Rhinolophus ferrumequinum: one gene and its partners. The protein of the gene in region 3 purifies or fractionates together with the protein of the main gene of each other region. This does not show direct contact. Links are inferred from orthologs where the notes say so. Each region holds a gene or a part of one and is shown on either strand. Other genes may lie near its edges. The genes, in order: PFDN1, PFDN4 and MAPK7.

The links.
Region 1: the proteins of MAPK7 (region 3) and PFDN1 purify together in Homo sapiens (affinity purification with mass spectrometry; 3 studies listed by BioGRID and IntAct, with this or other methods). This does not show direct contact. The link is inferred for Rhinolophus ferrumequinum from reciprocal best matches to the Homo sapiens genes MAPK7 and PFDN1.
Region 2: the proteins of MAPK7 (region 3) and PFDN4 purify together in Homo sapiens (affinity purification with mass spectrometry; 3 studies listed by BioGRID and IntAct, with this or other methods). This does not show direct contact. The link is inferred for Rhinolophus ferrumequinum from reciprocal best matches to the Homo sapiens genes MAPK7 and PFDN4.

Annotation. Positions count from the first base shown.
Region 1 is NC_046307.1:14,945,946-14,953,172, forward strand, and holds the start of PFDN1 (prefoldin subunit 1), read right to left. Parts: upstream 3,004-7,227; 5' UTR 2,889-3,003; coding exon 2,856-2,888; intron 417-2,855; coding exon 250-416; intron 1-249. UniProt on the Homo sapiens protein: Binds specifically to cytosolic chaperonin (c-CPN) and transfers target proteins to it. Binds to nascent polypeptide chain and promotes folding in an environment in which there are many competing pathways for nonnative proteins.
Region 2 is NC_046306.1:6,539,861-6,547,545, forward strand, and holds the start of PFDN4 (prefoldin subunit 4), read right to left. Parts: upstream 3,046-7,685; 5' UTR 2,813-3,045; coding exon 2,789-2,812; intron 1-2,788. UniProt on the Homo sapiens protein: Binds specifically to cytosolic chaperonin (c-CPN) and transfers target proteins to it. Binds to nascent polypeptide chain and promotes folding in an environment in which there are many competing pathways for nonnative proteins.
Region 3 is NC_046304.1:140,313-147,767, forward strand, and holds the start of MAPK7 (mitogen-activated protein kinase 7), read right to left. Parts: upstream 3,023-7,455; 5' UTR 2,863-3,022; intron 2,575-2,862; 5' UTR 2,570-2,574; coding exon 2,338-2,569; intron 1,670-2,337; coding exon 1,504-1,669; intron 867-1,503; coding exon 1-866. UniProt on the Homo sapiens protein: Plays a role in various cellular processes such as proliferation, differentiation and cell survival. The upstream activator of MAPK7 is the MAPK kinase MAP2K5.

The DNA of each region.
Region 1 (7,227 bases), on a different chromosome or scaffold from region 3:
AGTTACACACTTTTAAGAACCTAGTAGTAGAGAGAACACGGAAATATTTAAGAAATGTACTTCAAAGTCTAAAATTAAACACATCTATTTGGGATTCGATTTCTCATTTTTTAAAAAAGAAGGTATTTGACTAGATGATCTTTAAAGCTACAGTGATACTTTAACCTGTTTTAAAACAAACAAATTCTATGATTTAATTCAGACAAAACCTCTCCCAAGATAACTCCCATAAGGATATATTTTACTTACATTCTTCCTACACCTTCATACATGTTAGTCTCGTCTACCAAAGTCATAATCTCTGTATCTGTAAGATGTGCATGCTTTTTCGTTCTGTTTAGCTGTTCAATCTGTATATCTGCAAGCTTCACCTTCTGTTGAGTGTCAATAACTTTAGCTTGAAGCTCTGTGAAGGCCTAATAAAAACAAGTCCTTGATTTAGTAGGTGAAACACTTAATAAGAAACATTTAAGTTAAATCCAAATGTATTAAAATTAAGCATGCTAACCAGAGACAAAGCTATGAAATTTACCAAAGCAAACATCAATAAAAGTCAGTATAATTATAATCGATCAAGCCACTAGGCTACATACTGAAATTACCCTGTCAGAAGATGGAATCTATTTGAAGCAGAAACAAATGCACATTAAGTAATAACCATGTCAAGTAGCAGGGACCCAAGGAGTAATAAAAGCAATGAATGCAATAAACAGAGGATGAAACCCAGAAATCCAAAACAAGAACCATAAATGTAACAACTCTCTACATTTGTGTTATTCAACCAGGTTTCAAAGCACTTTCCCACGTTTCAAATATTAATAGAAATATTAACATGAGAACACTGAAGGATATAATAATATCGCATTTATTCCTCTCAATAATCCTATGAGTTAGAAATGGCTATTTCATCATTACAGTTTACAAATTAAGTAACCAAATGTGTTAAAGAGCTGTAAGTGGCTTGCACAGGGTTGACCGACTATCAGGTGGAAAGGCAGGTACTAAATTTCTTGTGACCCCTAGTTCAGGAATCTACCCATTCTACTGTCTACAGTAATATAAAGAACATAAATAATAGAGATATTTTAAAGAAAAAGACAAAAAAGGAAAACATTTCAAAGCATTGGTAGAATTGGATCATGATCTTCATATACACATACCAGGCCAAATTTGAACCTTGTGTACACTGTTCAACCTTGTGTACGCGTAACTGAAAGATAAACACAGTTCTTGGATACTCTTGTTGAAGTGCCTGAAATTTAACAGTGCATGCTGTTAAATTTATGCCTTAATAATAACATTTGTGACTGCAATACATGGCAAAAGGTACTACTTAACTTTTATTCTGACTTTGTTCTCACCTACTGGTAAGGTTTCCAAAGATTTATTTTGTATGAAGGGAGGTGCCTGAAAATTTCCTACTAGTCTCCAGCCAAAATAAAACCTTATCGAGATATTAGAAGATAAAATCTTTAAACGAGTTTCTTCAGTTAATTGGTTGTAAAACTATCCAACTTAAATGTGTAATCATTTTCTTAGTTTTCATTCATTGCCCACAGGTGTCTTAGCAACAAATTCAAATAATACTGGGAAGTTAAGTCCATTCATAGCTCTATGTTAGCTCTTTCAATAAATCCAGGCTTAAATTTGAACTTTTAACAGGAGAAAAAAGTAAATTTTTACACTGCGTTAAGCATTCTTAAAATGAACTTTGTTCTGCATGTAAAATTACCTGATTGTTCTGTACACAGTTTGCTAAGGGAGCTGAAATATTGTTAAAGCTGAGATACTTGAGCATTAGAGAACACCACGTAAGGGCAAAATTTACAAGTTTCAAAACAAGAATGACAAAAAGCAAGACATACACATAAATCCTCACAGCAATAACAAAGAGCTTCATGTAGTACGATCGACAGCTATTTCAGCTGTCCTATTTCTCATGCAAAGGTTGACCAAAAGGGAATCTGAAGTAAAATTTGCTCTTATGAAGAACCTAAGTAGTCAAAAGGTGTGGAGCAGACAATACTGGATTCTAGTCCCAACCTTTGATTCAATTTTTTTCTGGAACTCAGTTTCCTTTTCTGGAAAAGTATAGTTTAAACTAGATGCAGCCTAGGATCCTTTCCAATACCGGTCCCCCTCCCCACCCCAAAAAACTGTTGGGGTCCGTAATGATGTTAGAATCCTGACAACTCTTAGATGATGAAAACGTTTCTGAATAATAACACATTTATAAGCAATTGTTTGAATAGAGAAACCCAATTCCTTCTGATTATCAATTTTATTTGTAAAACTTGGCAGGACTTGTTTCTTTTTCGACAAGTCCTTCAAAAAAGGTAAAAGGTGGGGAGCCAGAGCCCTGAGATGCACAATGCTATGAGCATGTCTGACTCTGGACTGTACTGCGACCTTTCAAGATATGGGATCGAATAAATGGCCTAAAAGCACTGGCTGGATTTGGAATTTTTCAAAGCTAATGAGGATGCACCATTACAGATGCCTAGGCTCAGGCGAACCGTCCTAAGGGGCTCCAATTTGAAACGCTTATTTCAGGCCTCAATACGAAACTGAAGGCCCAAGCGCAACGTAACGGCTCTGCAGCTCGGAAGAGAACAGGCCAGCTATTGGCGCACCAGACAATCAAAGACAGCTCAACGGGCTGTTACCCACCAAGAGCCGCTCGCCCCCTACTCCAACTTAAGAAGACCCGATCCCGCCTTGGGACTTCAGGAAATCATTCCCCAGTTCCCTGGGGCCTCTTTCCGTCTTCAAGACTCGAGCCTCCTCGATATTCTTATCCACAGTCCCCTTAGCTACTAAAGAGAAGCCTCGGCCTGCTCAAGACGCTCTCTTACCTTCTTTAACTCCAAATCCACGGGCGCCGCCATCTTGGCTCACTCTCTGCGCCTGCGCGATGGAAGAAGGCCCGAAAAAGTGAGGAGGAAGGGCGCGCTTTGGCTGTTTAATTGTCCCCCTTTCTTCTGCGCCTGCGCATAAATCGGGCTTGCCGGGCTTCTTCCCTTCACGCGGGCTAGTGGCGCTTGAAATGAATATTCTGGATTCGATTCAGCCTGTGTTCCCCACGTGATCTATCAGGTTTGGGCTGCTTCTCCACGTCCTTCCAGCCACAACATCAACATGCAGATTTCGTGTATGGTTTTAAGCATTTTGACAAATAGCTCAGTTTTTGCTGCTAAATTGAGACGTATGAATATCAGACCAAAACCTCTTCAGTCATTCAGTCCTTCAGCTAGTCCCTGTGCTGTCAGGAATGAGAATCAGCCTGCACCTCAGGCATGCCAGTGTGGAGAAAAACAAGATTATTGGAGTGGTCTTCCAAAGAACTTATTTCTAAGGAATGCTCTTGGAGGACATTTTTGACATAGTGGTTCCCAAGAGAAGCCAAAAAAGTATGTTTAAAAACAAACAAACAAAAAAACACAGATTGTCTGGTCCTCGTCCCAAACTTAATTACTTAGAATTTTTGAGATTGGGGCCCAGAAATTTGCACTTTTGCAAACAATCCTTATGACCTGATGCAACGTCATCTGCAGACCAAATTTTGAGAATTTGCTGTAAAAGATCTAGCATTTGAACCAGAATATTGGATAGAAATTGGACTTTAGGACATGGCAGAAATGGATGTTTTATCTACTCTAAAAACTTGTGAGGGGGGCCGGCCTGGTGGCTCAGGCGGTTAGAGCTCCATGCTCTTAACGCCGAAGGCTGCCGGTTCGATTCCCACATGGGCCAGTGGGCTCTCAACCACAAGGTTGTCGGTTCGACTCCTTGACTCCCACAAGAGATGGTGGGCTGCACCCCTTGCAACTAGCAATGGCAACTGGACCTGGAGCTGAGCTGCGCCCTCCACAACTCAGATTGAAAGGACAACAACTTGACTTGGAAAAAGTCCTGGAAGTACACACTGTTCCCCAATAAAGTCCTGTTCCCCTTAAAAAAAAAAAAAAAAGAAAACTTTAAAAAAAAAAAAAAAAAAAAAAAAAAAAAACTTGTGAGGGAAGGGAAAGGGAAGGAATTTGGAACCGGCCAGACCTGGATTAAAGGTTTGGTTTACCTTGAGCCTAGGTCTGTTTGGTTCCATTTACTAGCTATGTAGCAATAGAGTTTGTCTCCTCTTTTAATTTGAGAATAACAATATTGACCTAATAGGATTATTGTGAGGAATACATAAGATCAGGATGAAACACTCCAAACATAGCACCACACACACAGTAGGTACTCAATGAATAGTTGTTAGTTGAGGTAGTTAACATTGTCATGTTTGTCTTTCAATGTCCAGCAAACAGGTCACCTCCTCCATTATGTCTTTTTTTTATTTTTTACATCACTCAACAACCAAAAATAATATCTCCTTTAAACTCTCCTCAAGACCACATCTGTTCTTCTCTTAAGGCACATGAAACTTTCTACCTTCAATTTTTTTTCCTTATTAGACTGTAAGCTCCTTGAAATCAAGAACGATAGAATAATTGTTCTCCCAGCACTTATACCCAGAACACCTATCACAGTGCCTCATAGGGAAGAAATACAAAATAAACACTTGATGAGAATGAATTCTTCAGAAGAAAATTTGTCATCACTTTCTAATTTGAGAAAGAAAAGGGGGGCCTAATTTTACTCTGGGGCCTTCTTAGAACTTCACTATAGATAATCAATAAATAATGACCCAAAAATTAAAATTCATAGAAAGTCTCAGATACTTTACTGTACATTACCTCATGAGATTTTGAAACACTCCTCATAGCAATTCATGTGTAATGTAAAAAGTTAAGAGCATGGGCTAAGGTATCAGACAACCTAGGTTCAAGTACTGTCTGTATTATTTAATAAGAATGTGACCCTAGGCAAAAGTCTCCTCTCAAATTTTTTGGTCATTGTTCCTTTTTGCATACCACTCCTTCCTCTTGAGTTTAATTTCCTTCTTGATAAAGTAAATCTTCAGTATATTCTTTCAGGATGAGTATTTGAGAAGTAAACTCTGTTAGTCTTTGTGTTAAGGGTTGAATTGTATCCCCCAAAAAAAGATGTGTTGAAGTCCTATATCCAGTACCTCCAAATGTCATCTATTCAGAAATCCAGTCTTTACACAGGTAATGTTAAAATGAAGTCTTTAGGGTGGGCCCTAATCCAATATGTCTTAGTCTTTCAGGCTGCTATAATCACCACAGAGTGGATGGCTTATAAACAACAAACATGTATTTCTCACAGTTCTGGAACTGGAAATCTGAGATCAGGGTACCAGTACGGTTAGGTGAGGGTCCTCTTCAGGGTTGCAAACTGCAGACCTCTCACTATGTCCTCACTTGGTGGAAAGGGTGAGGGAATCTCTGTGGGGGTCTCTTATAAGATCCAGTAAAGCCACTTTTGGGTATACACCCAAAAGAATTAAAACAGGGACTTGAATAGATATTTATATATCCATGTTCAGAGCAGCATATTCACAATATGCAAAATGTGGAAATAATTGGAAGCAAACACATGTTATAACCCAGGTTAACCTTGAGGACATTTTGCTAAGTGAAATAAGCCAGTCACAAGAAGACAAATATTTTATAATTCCACTTATATGAAGGATTTAGAGTAGTCAAAATCATAAAGGCAGAAAGTAGAATGGTGGGTGCCAGGAGCTAGGGAGAAGAGGGGGAATGGGGAGTTATTGTTTAATAGGTATAGAGTTTCAGTTTCACAAGATGAAAGACTTTTAGAGATGGGTGGCGGTAATGGTAGCACAACATTATGAATGCATTTCATACCCCTGAACTGTACACTTAAAAATGGTGAAGAAGGTAAATTTTATGTTATGTCTATATTACCACATTAAAAAATGGAAAAAATTTATTTGTACCTTTTTCAAATCTACCTGCTCTTTTCTTTTTTATGATATGTAATGATATATTCTTGCCTAATAGTGAACATAATTAGAACATAATGAACATAATTATTCTTAAATGTTTTTACAGTGTCTTATCATCTAGTGTGGATTCTTCCATTGGAGGCATTTGCTGGTCTTTCTTATGAAAGTTGATTTTCTCATATTACTAAGTTCATATTACTGAGTTCATATGACTAAGAACTCATCAAAAGTGTCTAGCATGTCCTGGGCTGTGGAAACATCCCTTCACATCCATTTCCACCAAAGCCCTGTGAGATTCACAGGTTCCAAACCAGTTTTTATGTTAATTCTTGACACCACATGAATGTACCAAATTTAGGGAAAAATAAAACTTTCCCTGAGCATAAAGTTGGCAGAATGTGATATACATTTACAGACTGGAAGCCACTGTAATATTTTTCCATATCTCCTTTTCATTTGGGTCTTCAAAATAAAATTATTTCCTTTCTCTCTGGAGCTTTTAAAACAGCAGAAAGGGGGCCGGCCCGGTGGCTCAGGCAGTTGGAGCTCCATGCTCCTAAATCTGAAGGCTGCCGGTTCAATTCCCACATGGGCCAGTGGGCTCTCAACCACAAGGTTGCCAGTTCAGTTCCTCGAGTCCCGCGAGGGATGGTGGGCTCCGTCCCCTGCAACTAGTAACGGCAACTGGACCTGGAGCTGAGCTGCGCCCTCCACAGCTAAGACTGAAAAGGACAACTTGAAGCTAAATGGCACCCTCCACAACCAAGACTGAAAGGACAACAACTTGAAGCTGAACGGCACCCTCCACAACTAAGATTGAAAGGACAACAACTTGACTTGGAAAACAGGCCTGGAAGTACACACTGTTCCCCAATAAAGTCCTGTTCCTCTTCCCCAATAAAAATCTAAAAAAAAAAAAAAAAAAAAAAAAAAAACCAGCAGAAAGAGACCTTCTATGAAAGCACTGAAGAGTTTGCAGTACTTCGACATTTGCTTAGAGAATAACCAGGATGTGCTGGTGTCTATCGTTTTCATAGTAAAAACAGACTTCCCACTGAAGGATTCACTAGCACAGGGATGTACTACTTCTGAGGTTCAATCAGTCCACAGTTGTGGAATTTAGAAAGGTGATCTATTATCCCTCAGTTCTGTTTCTCCATGCGCAATACACTTATTTAGTCATTTAACAAATATTTATTGAACATCCATTAGACATTGATCCAGGCCCTTGGGATGTAACAGTAACAGGCGACAAACTCTCTCACCTCATGGAGTACATATTCCAGTGGGGGACAGACAAACAATAAACCTGCAAACAAACAATTTCAGATATTGATCAGAGTTATCAAGGA
Region 2 (7,685 bases), on a different chromosome or scaffold from region 3:
TTCATGCATATATTCATTTAATAATTATTTAATGTTTCCCGTGTGTCAGACACTGTGAAAACAGCTGTAGTCCTACCCTCATGTACACCTGGCAAGCTTAAATTCTGGTGGAGGAGACGGGCAAAAAACAAGGGTGTTTTTATTAGATGGGGATATACATGATGATGAAAGTAGAACAGAGGTTGAAAGTGTTGGGGAGCTGGAGAGTGAAGGGGACTTCTTTAGATAGGAAGGTCAAAGATGGCTTCTCTGAGGGACCCTGGGCAGAACTCAGACAACAGACCCCTCGTGGCCAACAACCAGTTCTGAGAAAGCAGAACCTTGGAGACAAGAGCACTGAATCATGTCCTCCAAACATTCTCACCAGAAAAGTCATGACCCGTTGGGAAGCAATGCGCTACAAATGTAGAGTACTCCAAATTGCAAACAATTTTTGTCCAATTAGAAGGGCTATTCCTGCGATATTTCACACTCACTCAGTGGCATGCCCATGTTTTCTCCTAGAGAGGGCAGAAGGGGAAAGTGCACATGTAGTTGGCGGATCAGAAATGGTTTATAGCACTGGGAACGTCTACACGACGCTGCCATCTACATGCCAGTCTTACTAAGATGAAGAAGAAAATCCTTCATGTTTCAGCCACCACCTACCCCTCTAGGTTCTACCATCATGGTTCAATCTTTCCCCCCTCACCCCCCAATTCGCTGCCATGCTGGCCTTCCTTTTATTAAATGCACTCAAGGTCTGGGCAGGAGAAATTCCCTCTCTAGAATATCTAGAATACCTGCTCCCTTTCCCACTTTTTCTTCCCCTCCTTATGTAATCTGATAGATCACACCTTCTCTGATCACAACACAGACCTTATTCCACCTTCATTTCACAAGTATCTTTCTTTCGTAGTTCTGATCGGAGCTGGAAATTTTACAGTTTTCTGTATGACTATTCCATTACTGCCTGCCTCTCCCCCAGAGCATACGTTCTACTACGCTAGGAGGGTCAGGGAATAAGAACGTCATTACTGTTGATCATTACCTCCACCACGTAAAACTGCGACTGTACCATATGACACACTCAAAAAGCTTGCGGAATGACTGGAAGGAAAAAATGTTGGTAATTCAGCAATTTTGCAAAGTCCAGGGTTCAAATCCTTTTTTATCATTTCCTCAACTCCTTTGCTTCATCTCTCTGCACTTTAGTTTCCACATCTGTCAAATGGGGCCAAACCACAATATCTGCCATGGCATTAAGGGCCGTACCTAACAACACAGGGCCCAATTTAAATACAAAATAGAGGTGAAGTGAATCTCACAAAGTGCCATACTTGTCTGAATCACCGTGGCCCTAGACCCCCACACTCGTACTCTGTAAGAACTGAATGAATGACAGACCAACAGAGAGAGCAGCTCATCCTGGTTTGCCTGGGGCTTTCCCAGTTTGAGTGCTCCTTCAGTCTCAGACAGACAGGGATGGTTGGTCACCCTACACCAGGCGCAGGTGGCACAGGTGGTGCAGGTGGCTCCGACTATGCAGTGCTGCAGAGGAGAGCAAAGAAAGCAAGTTCAAGTGGCCCTTGAAGTGGAATGAGAGCAAACCTGCACAATACCTCGAAAGCAAATCCCTTCAGCCAGGGGACTCTCTTCAGACACCATGCAGTCAAAACACAGGCTTTGGAGACTCAACGCCTGTGTTTACTTAAATCCTAGCTTTGTCTCTGCTTCGGCTTGCATCAGATGTAAAATAAAGATAAAATCAACTCCTTAAAGGGCTCCTTAAAAGGGCCATAAGATTAAAATATATAACGTGTGCAACACTCTTAGAACTGTGCCTAGCACACAGTAAAGCCTTGATAATGATCAGATGTTATTATTTCCTTGCTCTCTCCACATTTTCTTTTTCTTCTATCTAGATATCTTTAAGCATCTGGGTACACTTATCGGATTAGAAACCCTAAACAGGCGTTTAGCTTGCTTAGCAGGATAAAAGGTGTGCTTGGGGGGGTAGGAGGAACACCTGAGTTTGAATTCTAGCTCTGATTCTTATTAGCTGAGTCACTTTCAGGTCACTAGCCGCTCTGTGTCTAAGTTTCTCCATCTGTAAAGTGGGGAGAAACCCTTATCCTTGCGAAGTTGCTGGGAGGATCAGAGATAATCAACGCACGGCTTCTGGACCCTGACCCATCGTCTATCCTTTGGCCTGGAGGACGCAGGGCCATCAAGTGTGGATGTGGGAGACTCAGGGCTGGGCACTGGGGCTCTGCGGCCAGATAATTCAAGGATGGAGGGTCCTGCTCTACTCCTTACAGCTGCGTAACCTTGGGAAGGTGACTCCACCTCTCTGGGCCTCAGCTTCCTTACCTGCAAAGGACGCTACCAATACTGCCTAACCTTGTGGACCTGTGAGGGTTAAATATGATAACTCAGGTAAAGCGCCCAGCCTTACGGTCAGATGCAGTCAATGGGACCTTCGCTTCCCACGCTGCAATGACAAGGCCTGGGCCGCGGGACCCTCAGACTCTCCAGGGCCATCCTCAGCCCGGCGAGAGGCATCCCGGAGCCCTCCAAGGGTCCCAGTCCGTGCGCCCCGCCTTGGTGGGCCGGGGGCCTAAGACGCCGCCCAGGGCGCCGGGCGTGGACAGGCCTCACTGCGGGGCCGTCCTCAGGGCCGGGGACCGGGACCCCGGGCCCCACGCCGGGCTTCAGAGATCAGCACCCCAGCATCCCTCTCCCGGCCCCTCGGCGGCCGGTCGCCTCCCGCAGCCCGAGCATCCCGCACCGCGAGCGCTCCACTCACCGCCTTCTTCATGGTGGCCGCCATCTTGGGACTGGACTACCGCGCGAGGCGGGGAGGGCCGCAACGGCGCGCTTCTCCTCCCTACCCTCTCTCACTCCCTGTTGGCCCAGAACTCCCGTAAAATACAACACCGTCTCCACATTCCCTCGTGTTGGATCTTCGACGAAGGAGCTCTAACGTCTAGGACTCATGGAGGAAATGCAACCTGGAAGGATTTGGTACATGCCAATTAAAGGGACAGGCAACTCCCCGTGGGTCGACACAAACTGGGGGGTGTGGCGAACGGCCGCGGATCCAGCAGCGGGCAGCAGGGGGCGCCCAGAGCGGCGGGGCAGGGCCTCGGTTGGAGCCGAGCCGGGGGCGGGGCCGGGCCTTGAGGAGATGAAAGGGAAATCTTTTTCATCAATCCCGCACAGGAATGAGGAGAAATCTACCTACCTAAAAAAGTGCTAAGAACTAATGACCTTGGCAATAGGATGTGCAGTTAATATGCCCTGATAATTCAGATGGTATTAAGGGAGAAGTACTCCTACTTATTTATTCAACATTATTGAGCGATTACTGTCTGCTCTGACATTTGTGCCTCCCAATTCTTTCTTTCTTTCTTTCTTTTTAACCAGCAAAAGAAAGAAGGCTGGGGTACAAATGGAAACAATTGGAGACTGCTGATCAGGAGGAAAATCACCAGGAACCACTTGAAAGTACTATCCCCGCTGAGGGGAGGGGAACGGGACGGGGGATGAGCAGATTCCCTTACATCAGGTTGAAACCCAGCCACCTACTGACTGGATCCAAGCCATGTTTTTGTTTTGTTTTTTGTTCTATTTTTGTTTTTTGTTTTGTTTTGACCCACACAGTATTTTTACTTGAACAAACATATGAAAATTAGGAGATTTCACTCCACAATATCCGATTTTTTGTTTTGCTTGTGCTTGTAAAATCAGAATCCTGGTGACTTTGATCCTACATTTTTGCACAACAGCAGCTGTTGTTGCTGATTAGTCATGGCCCATTTAGCTAACAGACCCTCTCCAGGGCCCGGCAGATGCCCACCTGCCTCATGGTGTGCTTACCTGTCGTGTCCAGGTGTATGAACTTGTCACCCCAGACTTCTGTTCTAAGGCATTGAAATGAGGGCGTTCATGGTGCAATTGTTTGAAATCTGTACCATGCTAGATGCTATTGTGAAAAGAAGGATGAATTAGATGGGTGCTTGGCATCAAAGAGCTTATGGTTGGCACACATGTATCGCCCCCAATCATAGCACCTGAAGCTGCAGCCCTGGGACAACTGCTGAGGGGTCCCCAGGAGGCTCATGTCTGGCTGGAGTAGCTAGTGAAGACTCTGGATTGGTGGCATGTTAACTCGATCAAGAAGGGCAGTGGGACTACAGTACAAGTAGAATAGGCAAAATTCCCTGTCCTCGTGCAGCTTACAGTCTAGTGATGACAGATCATAGTCAAAACACAGAAGTAAATTCTTCAGTATTAGAAGGTGGTATTATCAATATGTGTTATTAATAGTTATAACAAGAACACATACAGTAATAATAAAAGACTGTAACTACCAGCATGAAAACTCTATGAAAAAGATACAACTCTATGAGTAAAATGCTAAGTATGTTGACTGGAAAATTGAGGGGAACAAAAGCCCTATTTGAACTGACATGTAAGCTACAAAATTGTCCAGACATGTCCCAGCTTAATTTAGATTCTGTCACAAAGCAATAGTGAGCTCACCACATTATTTCATAGCAGTGTGTGCATGAGTTCCCTCCAAAACCTGCAACATCTGCACCAGATGTTCTAAGCCTTGAAAGGAAAGTCTTTTGTTTTTTTAAATTAAATTTATTGGGGTGATGATGGTTAGTAAAATTACATAGATTTCAAGAGTACATTTCTATAATACATACCTGTATATCACATTGTGTGCTCACACCCAGAGTCCGTTCTCCTGAATGGGAAATCTTGGTAGGATTACCCTTCCACTTTGGCCAGGAGGAATCTAGGGACAAGGAGGGGCCCACCCCATCACTACGTGGTCATTTGCTCAGTGCCTGCAGGGGGCGCCCAAGGACCTTGGTAGTGTTCCACAGACCCCAGCCTTTCAAGTCCACCTGGATATATTGCTAAAATATCAACAGAACGATTCTTTTCTTAACTTAAAAACAGATCTATTTTAAAACATAGAATAAGTACATTTTCAAAGGACATTTAAAATCTCTGGTTTAAAGGGAAAACCAGTTTCGCTTGCTACAGAAGCAGATTTTAAGGGGTTTAAATAGATCTCTTCCTCCCGGAGAAAACTGTTTCAGCTGAGGTTTGTTCAAAAGGCGGAAAGTAACAGGCCGTGGAATGGGGAGAAGGGCCAGGTACTGCCCCTTGCGGTCCCCCTTACATGTGCCTGGCTCTAGGTGCCTGTGTGCTTGACCCTAATCCCTGTCCCAGAGGGAGGGAATAAAGTGGAGGGAACCTTTAATATCAAATAAAGGTAGGAGATCATGGTGTACTTAAAGAAAGGGAAGAAAGGGGATGAAAAGGAAAGAGAAGAAGGGCAAGAGATGAAGCTGTGGAGAAGATAACCCTCCTCCGCTGCCTCCCACCGTGGAGGGGGTAGGGAGTGGGGGAGGGGAGGAGTGGAGAGCGGATTCCAAGGCCTGCAGGGGCCAGGTAGAAAATATAAGTGAGTGATGGACGTTATAAATGAGGGAGGGACTGTGCGCCATCCGACTGACCGTATCCAGTTTGTGCAGCTCATCTCCAGCAGCTCCTCACCTCCCGCCAATTGTTGCCATGAGGGAATGGGGACCCAGGGCCACTAGAAGTTCCCCTTTCTTCCTAGAAGCCAGTAACCCGGATTTTTTTTTTTTTTTTAATGTGAAGTCTTGTGATGTTGAAACCACTGAAATTGATTTTAAAATAAATTCTAAATCTATTGTGTATACCAACTAGATGGACCGCTCAATCTGTGACCTGTGATAAACCTCCCAGGTGCACATCTTCTGGAATGTTCTTATGACCAAGTTTTTCATTCTTAAATGAAATGGTGGGGGGAATCCCCTAGGTTTTCTGAAGTAAATCTATGCAAATCAGGAACTCTCACTGAAAAATTTCCTCTCCAGACTGTCTGATTACTCTCCCACATTCACCTCCTTCCTGCTCTAGTTCCATGATCACCAGAAGTGCCTCTGTGCCCCTTCATGACTCACGATTTAATCTGTCCTTTAAATAAAGCCTTCCTTGGTTATTGTTAACCTCTTTCATCTTTAAAGTCTGCACTTACTACACAGTTGGTATTTTTCTAAGCTACCATTGCACAAGCCTTACCTTCTCTCTCGTAGTTCTTTTGAATCTTCTTATTGTGCTGGGTAATAGAAAATAGTGTCAGTTTGTATTTGGCTCAACAGTTTTGTAGATGGTTTTATCATGGCCCTATCTGAAATTCTTCGTTGTCTTCCCACGCATTGCACAAAGGCATCATTTAGATTCCTGGCCGAGGTGCAGCCTCCCTCTCTGACCTTATTCCACTCCATCCCTCCCCCTCACGGTGCTCTAGCGCCGTGGGCCTCCACTCTGTGAATGTTGCCTGCTGCCTTCTGCCTCAGGGCCTTTGCACTTGAGCCGCTTGCTGTCCTTGACGCCCCTTTCTCCTGTTTGTTCACCTGGCTAACTTCTACTCCTGACACTCAGCCATCAAGAAAGCTTTCCTTAAACACATCCACCACCCAGAAAGAGTAGCACCCCCTTTTCAACACCCTTAAAGCCCTTCATAGCACCTTTCCTTTTCCCACCAAGGGAAACACACCTGTTTCATCATCTCTGTAATCACGGCACTAACGTGGAGGTAGATGCTTCACAAATATTAGCTAATGAATAAATAAATGCATGAATGAGTGACTATGTATTTAGGGATGAATGCAGTAATATATCATACAATATAGCTGTGGGTGAATTCATTCAGTAACAATGTGCAAGAGTCCATAGCGCGTTTCCATTCACTTATTTTTCTTCGCTAGATCGAGTACTACTGTGCGTCTCACAAAAATTCTGATCTTGTCTCACAAAACTGATTTTGTGGACTCATTGGCAGAGCAGCCCTTCCTTTCTTCACCAGGTGGCGCTGTGACTCCAGAATCTGACATTTTACTGTTCTCGGGAACTGTCCACGTTCTCTTCTACACTCTGCAAAGCAAGATGGCACAAAATCAAGGAAATCATCATCTTCTGCTTGTTTGAATTCTTGCCTTAATTTTTACCTGGTAAAAGGCAAAGCATTTTCCGGAGCCCTCAAATGTACGCACTGATTTTAAGCCTTTATAAAGTAGACCATTAACTAACCTGTTTACTGCAAGGTACGTGCTTATAGCAATTTCAATGCTGAGAATGAGTCAGAACTTGTTATATGGAGCAATCGAAGCATATCTTCAAATTCAAATATAAATTTCCTCGTGTGATTCATTCAACAAGGATTTCTTCAGAACTTCGTGTGTACCTAGCACTGAGCCAGGCAGCTTCTTTCCCACAGATGCCTCTGCTCATAAAAGGACCTGTTTGGCAGTGAAGTGGGTATCTTATATATATTTGTGATCCCCTAATGTCTGTTGAATACTTTTATGTACATTTGGGGACATTTCCAGGTCATGAGTGTTACCATTCCTTTCTAGAAGCCAGAACTCAATTTCCTGGCATCCTTTAAGCTCGGATGCAGGCCACAGGATCCAGGCCCAGCGAATCAGATTCACCAGTAGGAGACCTGATCTGAGAGAGCAAGAATGGGAGGTGCCAGGTGCCGGGGGAATCCATTGCCGTGATGAGGGCAGCCTGGCAGACAAAGCTTGAGTCCCTGAAACAGCAAGAAAGTCAGTGCTAGTGGGATGCCCTGGCCTGGGTGATTCGGG
Region 3 (7,455 bases):
GACTGGGCATTTCAATGTCGGGGCAGCTAGGCTCACTGGCCACAGGCTGCAGGGAAGGCTGGAAACGTATCTGCTGGCGGATGCCTTCACGCCGTGCATGGAAGTCCTCGATCTCGGCCACAATGGCCTCCTTAATCCGTTCCCGGGTGAGGGCTTCCCGGTCAAAGGCGAAGTCAAAGGGCGGGGCACAGTCAGGCTCATCATCAGGGTCATGGTACTTGGCCAAGAAGGGGTGGCGAAGGGCGGCAGCCGCGGAGATGCGGGCACTGGGCTCAAAACGCAGCATGCGCCCCAGCAGTGAGAGGGCCTGGCGGTCAGCACCTGGGTACACTGTCTCCCAGGGCACAGGCTGGCGGGGTGGCAGGCTCTGGATGTACGCCCGCACCCTTTCAGCCCCCACAGCTTGAATCACAGCTGGTGAGGGGGTGCCCAACACCATCATGATCAACTGCAGCTGGTGCACATAGTTTTTGCCCGGGAAGAGCTGACGCCTCGCCAGCATCTCACCAAAAATGCAGCCCACAGACCACAGATCAATAGCCTGCGTGTACTCATGCAGTGAGAGCATGAGCTCCGGGGCACGGTACCAGCGCGTGGCCACATATTCGGTCATGAAGTACTGGTGCTCGGCAGGCGAGGTGCACAGGCCGCGTGCCATGCCGAAATCACCGATCTTGAGCTCACAGTTCTCATTCACCAGCAGGTTTGAGGGCTTGAGGTCGCGGTGGATGACCTGAGCTGAGTGCATGTACTTGAGGCCCCGCAGCAGCTGGTACAGGAAATAGCGGACGTGCTCCAGCGTGAGTGGCTGCGAGGAATGGATGATTTGATGCAGGTCGCTCTCCATCAGGTCCAGGACCACATAGCTACAAGGGACAGGGAGAGACGTATGGGCTGTCTTGTCTTGTCCACACGCCAGCCCCAAGCTCACCACACCCACCTGGCTCCAGGCAGGGAGCGGCCTTACCCTCAGACTCTGGAAGGGCCAACCGTATGGTATGAAGAGTCTAGATTCTCTACAACTTTTCCATGAACTTAAGTGAAGTTACATCACTTTTCTCTCCAGATCTAGTTGCCCGTCCGAGAAAAAATGAGGGTGGACCAAATCAGGACTAGCAAATAGCTGTAGTTTTGGGGGCTGTCTCCATTGTTTGGTAATGGCCACTTAATGACTGCTGAACACTGCGGCGGTTTGCCCTCTGTCGGTAAGCGTCCTGTGACTGATGAGTGATGACTGCTACGAGAACAGGCAGCTGTAGTTATAGTGTGTGTGCTGCGTTTGCCATCCTCTACACTGACGTTCTATCAAATTGTAACATCTGTACTCTTCTTGAGAACCAGCTGTCCCTGGCAAAACCCTACGGGAGCACTGGTCCTGGAATTACGGGAATTCCCCCGGGGGCCTTCCATTAGGTTCAGCGGTCCTTCCAGAACTTGAGCAATGTGGTCCTAACCTTCAGAAAACTCCCAGCTCTGCCTCCCTCTCCCATTCCCATTTCTTACACGGATTTGAACTCGCCATAGGGCACGGTGGGCCTCAGGATGTCCTTGATGGCGATGATGTTGTCATGCTTGAAGTGTTTGAGGATCTTCAGCTCCCTGAGGGTCCGCTTGGCATTGGTCACCACATCGAAAGCATTGGGGATCTTCTTAATGGCCACCTGCTGGCCTGAGGGGCAGAGAAAAGGCAGATACCGTGAGGTGCCTTGCAGCAGCTGCAGGGTGGCACAAGGCCCCTTTCACCATCTCCCGTCTAGGATGCAAATCATGGCCACCACCCACTGAGTAACAACAGCTACTATATCCTGAGTACCTCCTATGTGCCAACCCCTGTGCTAAGCGCGTTACACACACTTCACACCTGTCCCGAGACAGGTACTGATAGCTCCACGTTACAGGTGAGGAAACCCCGTCACAGTAACCTACTGGGGGTTGCACAGCTTGTCGGTAGAATGTAGACTGTGCTCGTCCTACCTCCCTACGCGCTCTCTGCATCTCAAACCTTACCCGCCCCACCACCAGCCCCTGTACTAGGCTGCGGCTCCAGAACACACTTCTGTTAGAAACAAAAGATAAGATCTCCTCCCGGTCTCACTGGGAGGGACATTTTTCTAAGGAGGAAGTAGGCAGATGTGCCGGCGAAACCGCCGTGCCCGAGGTTCTGAGAGCCGTGCCCAGCACCGTGCCGGGCACCCCGACGGCACGTAAGCAGCGCTTGCCGACGCGAACCAGAACGTGCGCCCGGCTCTCCTGCCGGGCTGTTTGAGCGGGGGCGGCTCTCCCACTCTCGGGGCACCAGTGTCCACCTCGGTGAGCGGCGCCCACAGGGAAGCTCACCCGTGAGGCGGCGACGCGCGGAGGACACCACCCCGTAGGCCCCATTGCCTATGGTCTCGATGATCTCATACTCGTCCCCCACGTCGAAGGTCACATCGAAGGACCGGGCTTTGAGCAGGGCTAGGTTCTTGGCCGCCACAGAGGCAGCGGTGCTGACGGGCTCCGCCTTCACCGGCCCCGGGGGCTCTCCGGAGCCGTCCTCGCCGTCCTCCTCCTTCAGGGGCTCGGCCATGGCGTCTGTGTGGAAACGCTGGTGAGCGGGGGCCCGCCCCGCCCCAGGCCTCAGTTTCCCCTTTGTGAGGCTGGAGCAGGACCACGTAATTCCAAGTTCCCTAAGCCGATGGGGACCAGGTAGGGGGCAAAAGACGGCGGCTGGCATGTAGTATATGTGCCACACCAGGCAATCGGAGCCCAAAGCTCAGGTCCCGGTGCAACGCAGGGTCGGAGGTGGGGGAGGTGCAGCGAGGCGGGTTCAGGAAGAAAGGGAGGGGGCGGGGCACTTCGCTTTCCTCGGTCCACACTCACCGAATCGCGCCTCACCCCGACGTCTCGTCGGGGCTTTCGAGGGTCTCCGGGGCCCCTGGCCTGCCGTCCCCAGGGGAGGGGGACGCCAGAGTCACTCGCTCACGTGTTTAAGGCCGCCGCCTCCACCTCAGCATAGAGCTCAGCCCCGCTGGTCCCCCCTGCCCCGCCTCCCAAGACCACGCTCCCTTCAGCCTCCGGCCAATCGCTGGGCGGTCTCTGAGGTGCTTCTCCACCCCTTGTGCTCGCGTCGTCCAATCCGAGCCCACCTGCAGAGGAAGCCACGCCTGTGTCCTGCGCGCGCCCGCGCGCGCCACTGCCCAGTTCGCCCGCGGGAGCCGCCCAAAGTGCGCTCCGCGCTTCTCAGGGGTGCAGTCGGTACCCCGCGCCGTCTTCCGACGCATGCGCGCTGGCCGCCCCGGGCGCCGCCTGCAGGAAGGCAACGCCCCCGCGCGTGCTCGCGCGCATCTCCATGTATCCGCGGCGTCTCCTCCCGCAAATCGCCGCTGGTCCTGGCAGCTCCGAGGGGCTAGCACACCCGGGACTTTTAGCTTGGCGGCCGGCTCGCGAAATCCCCCCACTTCAGGGCCCTCTTCCCTTTTCAGTCCCTGTCCCTGGGAGATTGTGCCCGCCATTTTCCCGATCGGTTCCGGGAGCCCGGCTCCGGGAAGGCATCATCCCAGAAGAGGGTGATCCGTCCGGTCCAACCACAGAGTTCCCGGTCCTCCCGGATTCTAGAGCGTCAAGCCTGAAGCCGCTACTGCCTGGCGATGGCTCGTCCTCTCTGCCCAGCTTCCGGCATCGCTGAGCCTCCGCCGGTTGTTCCTTGGCCTCCGGCGTGTTCCCTGTTTTGGTGGCTCTGTTCCAAGACCGCGAGGGCTCTCTGTGCTACAGCGGAGTTGGGCTGGCGGGCGGGGCCGTGCAGCCTCTACGCCTCCCGTCAGCTCAGCCCAGAGGGCAGAGCCAGCACTGGGCCTCGGCTGCCCCGACCCGCTCCAGGGCCCGATGGCCCGTTCGTTCATATAGCAAATATGTGTCGGGCACCAAGTCTCTAAGGTTCAGTGCTGAGGAGGCAGAGGTGCGCGTGGTGGTTAGTGGGGGCTGGGAGAAAAGGTTTTCAACCTTTAGGAATTCGACGTAGAAGGTTTTGGAGTTGCGACTCCAAAGATGGCTGGCTGAGTTTTCACCAGGTGAGAAAAGAAGACAGCATGGGGAGACAGGCTGAAGGTACAGAGGTCGAGAAGTACAGCAGTGCAGACTCTGGGGGTTGTTCCGTTGCCCTAAATAAGGACCGGTTGGTGGGACCCAATAAAGTCTTTGAGTGCCACGTTGTGGGTTTATTCCTTACGTCGCAAACTAGTAGCCGAAAAGTGGATCCAGACCAGACATGAATTTTGGTAAGCCTACACACTTCTGAAAATTTTTGTTCTGTGTATATTCCCCACTGTTGTGTTTTTGATTTTTTTTACTTTTCACTAAAGCATGCATAAAGCTCCACTAATTTTCACAAACTTAGTACACCAGGGTATTGGATTCAGATGAAAAACATTACCAGCACTTCCGAAGAACCTTCTCTTTTCCAGTGGTGATAGTTCTTTCTATTAACTCTCTTCCACACTTTTTTTTTCTGCACTGATTTTAAGAGATTAGTCGGGATCCATATGTTGTGATACTGCATTTTTAAAAACTCAGCATAAGGAAAAATATGTTTAAGAGTATTAGGTCAATATTGGGACAAATAGATATCTCATATTTAGACACATACAAACCATATGTGCCTCCTGAGTTAAGGTTGAACTATAATATTTGTTCCTGATTTTCCTGAGAGCATAATAAAAAAGCCAAATTACCTGTTACATGATTTGCATTAAACATGAATAAAGAAACCGTATTCGTGGGAAGAGAACATTTTCTATCAGTGAGGTCTGATGGCCGTTAGGTGAAAGACAGTTTTCCCTAACTCTGAAATACATGCACTATAAGGCCTTCGGTGTCCCCCAGTGTAAATAGAGGGCATACAAAAGCGGGACACATAAGCACATCTTTTTAGGGGACCAACTGAACAAGCTGTGTGGTGGTCCTGTCTGGTCCAGGAATAAAACAAAGTATCAGAAGAAACTCAGAAACTGTATTCTTTAAATTCTCTATGAATATTTCAGCCAGGCTGGATATCCACATTACAGACTGCAACGTTCTCCGGCAAAAGCTTGCTAATTCTCTTAATTTTCAATCCACCATGAGCTGCTTTGCTCTTCCCCCACTAGGTCTTTATTCTGTCCTGGAAAAGTCATCAATTATCTAACTGTATTAAATACAACAGACACTCTTCCGTCCTTGCCTTACTGTGCTCTGTTGCATATGACACAACTGACCGCTTCTTCAAGAAAAAATTGTTTCACCTGATTCAAAAGGTTTAAATGAAAAATCTTGGTCCCACTCCCAGGTGGCCACTTTTATAATGTCTTACCAGAAGTATCAATAACCAGAGAGGTCCCTCTTTTTTTTTTTTTTTTAGTAAGCTATTTTGACATATAATTCATACTCTAAAAGTTTTTTTTTCTCCCCTTCTTCCGCCTGCCCCCCCCCCACTCCGGTTCAAGCCATTGTTTCTCAGTCTAGTTGTGTAGGACACAGCTCCCTGGCCCCTGCTGGTATTATGAGCCTTGTGTGCCCGCTGGCTGAGGCGGTTGGTCGGTCGCCGGTTGTTGGTGGCTGCTCACAGCAGCTCACGGTGGCTCTTGCCGGCTGCCGGCCGCTCACGCTGGCTGCCAGCCACACGCTGGCCACCGGCCGTTCATGGCGGCACACAGTAGCCTGAAACTGCACAGCAGCCGGTGGTAGCACTCAGCAGCCCCTGGCAGCTCACAGCAGCTCACACCAACCTCCAGCTGCTCAGGGCAGCCCAGCTCCAGGGAGAGCTGTTGTTCACAATCTTAGCTGTAGAGGGCGCAGCTCACTGGCCTGTGGGGGAATCGAACTGGCGACTTCCGCTTTAGGAGGAGTATGACACTCCAACCACCTGAGCCTCCAGGCTGGCCCCTAAAACTTTTATAGTGTGTAATTCAGTGTTTTTCTGTTATGTTGACAGAGTTGTGCAACCATCACCACTACCTAATTTTAGGACCTTTTCATCACCCCAAAAAAGACACCCGTTTGTAATCACTCCTCATTTCCCCTCACCCAGCCCCCAGAAACCACTGACATACTTCTGTCTGTGGATTTACCTATTTTGGACATTCCATAGAAATGGAATCCTACAATATGTGACCTTTTGTGTCAGTTCTTTCACTTAGCGTATTTTCAATGTTTATCCTTGTAGCATGTAGCAGAACATCATTTCTTTTTAATACCAAATGGATTTGGATACACATTTTGTTTATCCACTCATCAGTTGATGGACCTTTGGGTGTTCCACCTGTTGGCTGTTACAAGTAATGATGCTGTGAGCATTTATGTACAAGTTTTCGTGTGGACATGTTTTCGTTTCTCTTGGTGTACCTAAGAGTGGGATCGCTGGGTCATATGGTAAACTTTATATTTAACTTTTTGAGGAACTGTCAAACTTCCCAGTGGTTGCACCATTTTACAACCTGACTAGCAATATTTGAGGGTTCAATTTTTCCACATCCTCACCACCAATTGTTATTCCCTCCCCCTTTTTAAAAAAATTATAGCTATCCTAGTGGGTGTGCAGTGGTAGGTCATTGTGGTTCTGATTGGCATTTTCCTAATGATTAGTGATGTTGAGCATCTTTTCATGTGCTTATTGGCCATTTGTCTTTTGGGGGAATGTCGATTTACATCCTTTGTTCATTTTTAATTGCATTATTTGTCTTTTTGTTGAGTTGTAAGACTTCTTCATATATTCTGGATGTAAGTCTCATCAAATACATGATTTACAAATATTTATTCCCATTCTGTGGGTTGCCTTTTCACTTCCTTGATGGTATCATTTGCAGCACAAAGTTTTTAAAATTTAGAACTACTTAATTGTAATGAATTCCACTTTATCTTTTGTCACTTGTGCCTTCGATGTCATATCTAAGAAACCACCACATTCTTTTTTACAGCTATCCCTTTATGAATGTAATTTTATAGTATCCATTTATGAATGTAATCTAACCAGCACTGTGTAGGTGGATATTTAGGTTAGTTCAGAATTTTTGCTCTTGCAAACAATGCTGCAATAAATGATCTTGAACACATCGTTTTGCAAACTGCAAATATATTTGCAGGATAAATATCCAGAAGTGGAAGTGCCAAGTTGAAGAATATTGAACTTGTAATTTTAATAGTTAATGTCAAATTTCTGTCCTTAGAGATTGTACCAGTTTAGACCCCCACCAGCAGAATGGGGGAATGATTCACACAAGCCTTTTTAAAAAGCGTGGAATTATTTGCCTATGTTAAAAATGGGGAGATAGCTCATAAAAGTCCTGATTTCTGGTTTCCTTCAGAAAATTGGAAAAATCTGTCACCATCAGCCTTCCATTCCCACACAGCAGTAACGGGCTGGAACAAAGCAGTAGCCCTGCACTGGACGGGCGTGGGCTCTGCAGTTCACCGCACTCCCTTCCTCTCCCTCAGGGCTCCCCA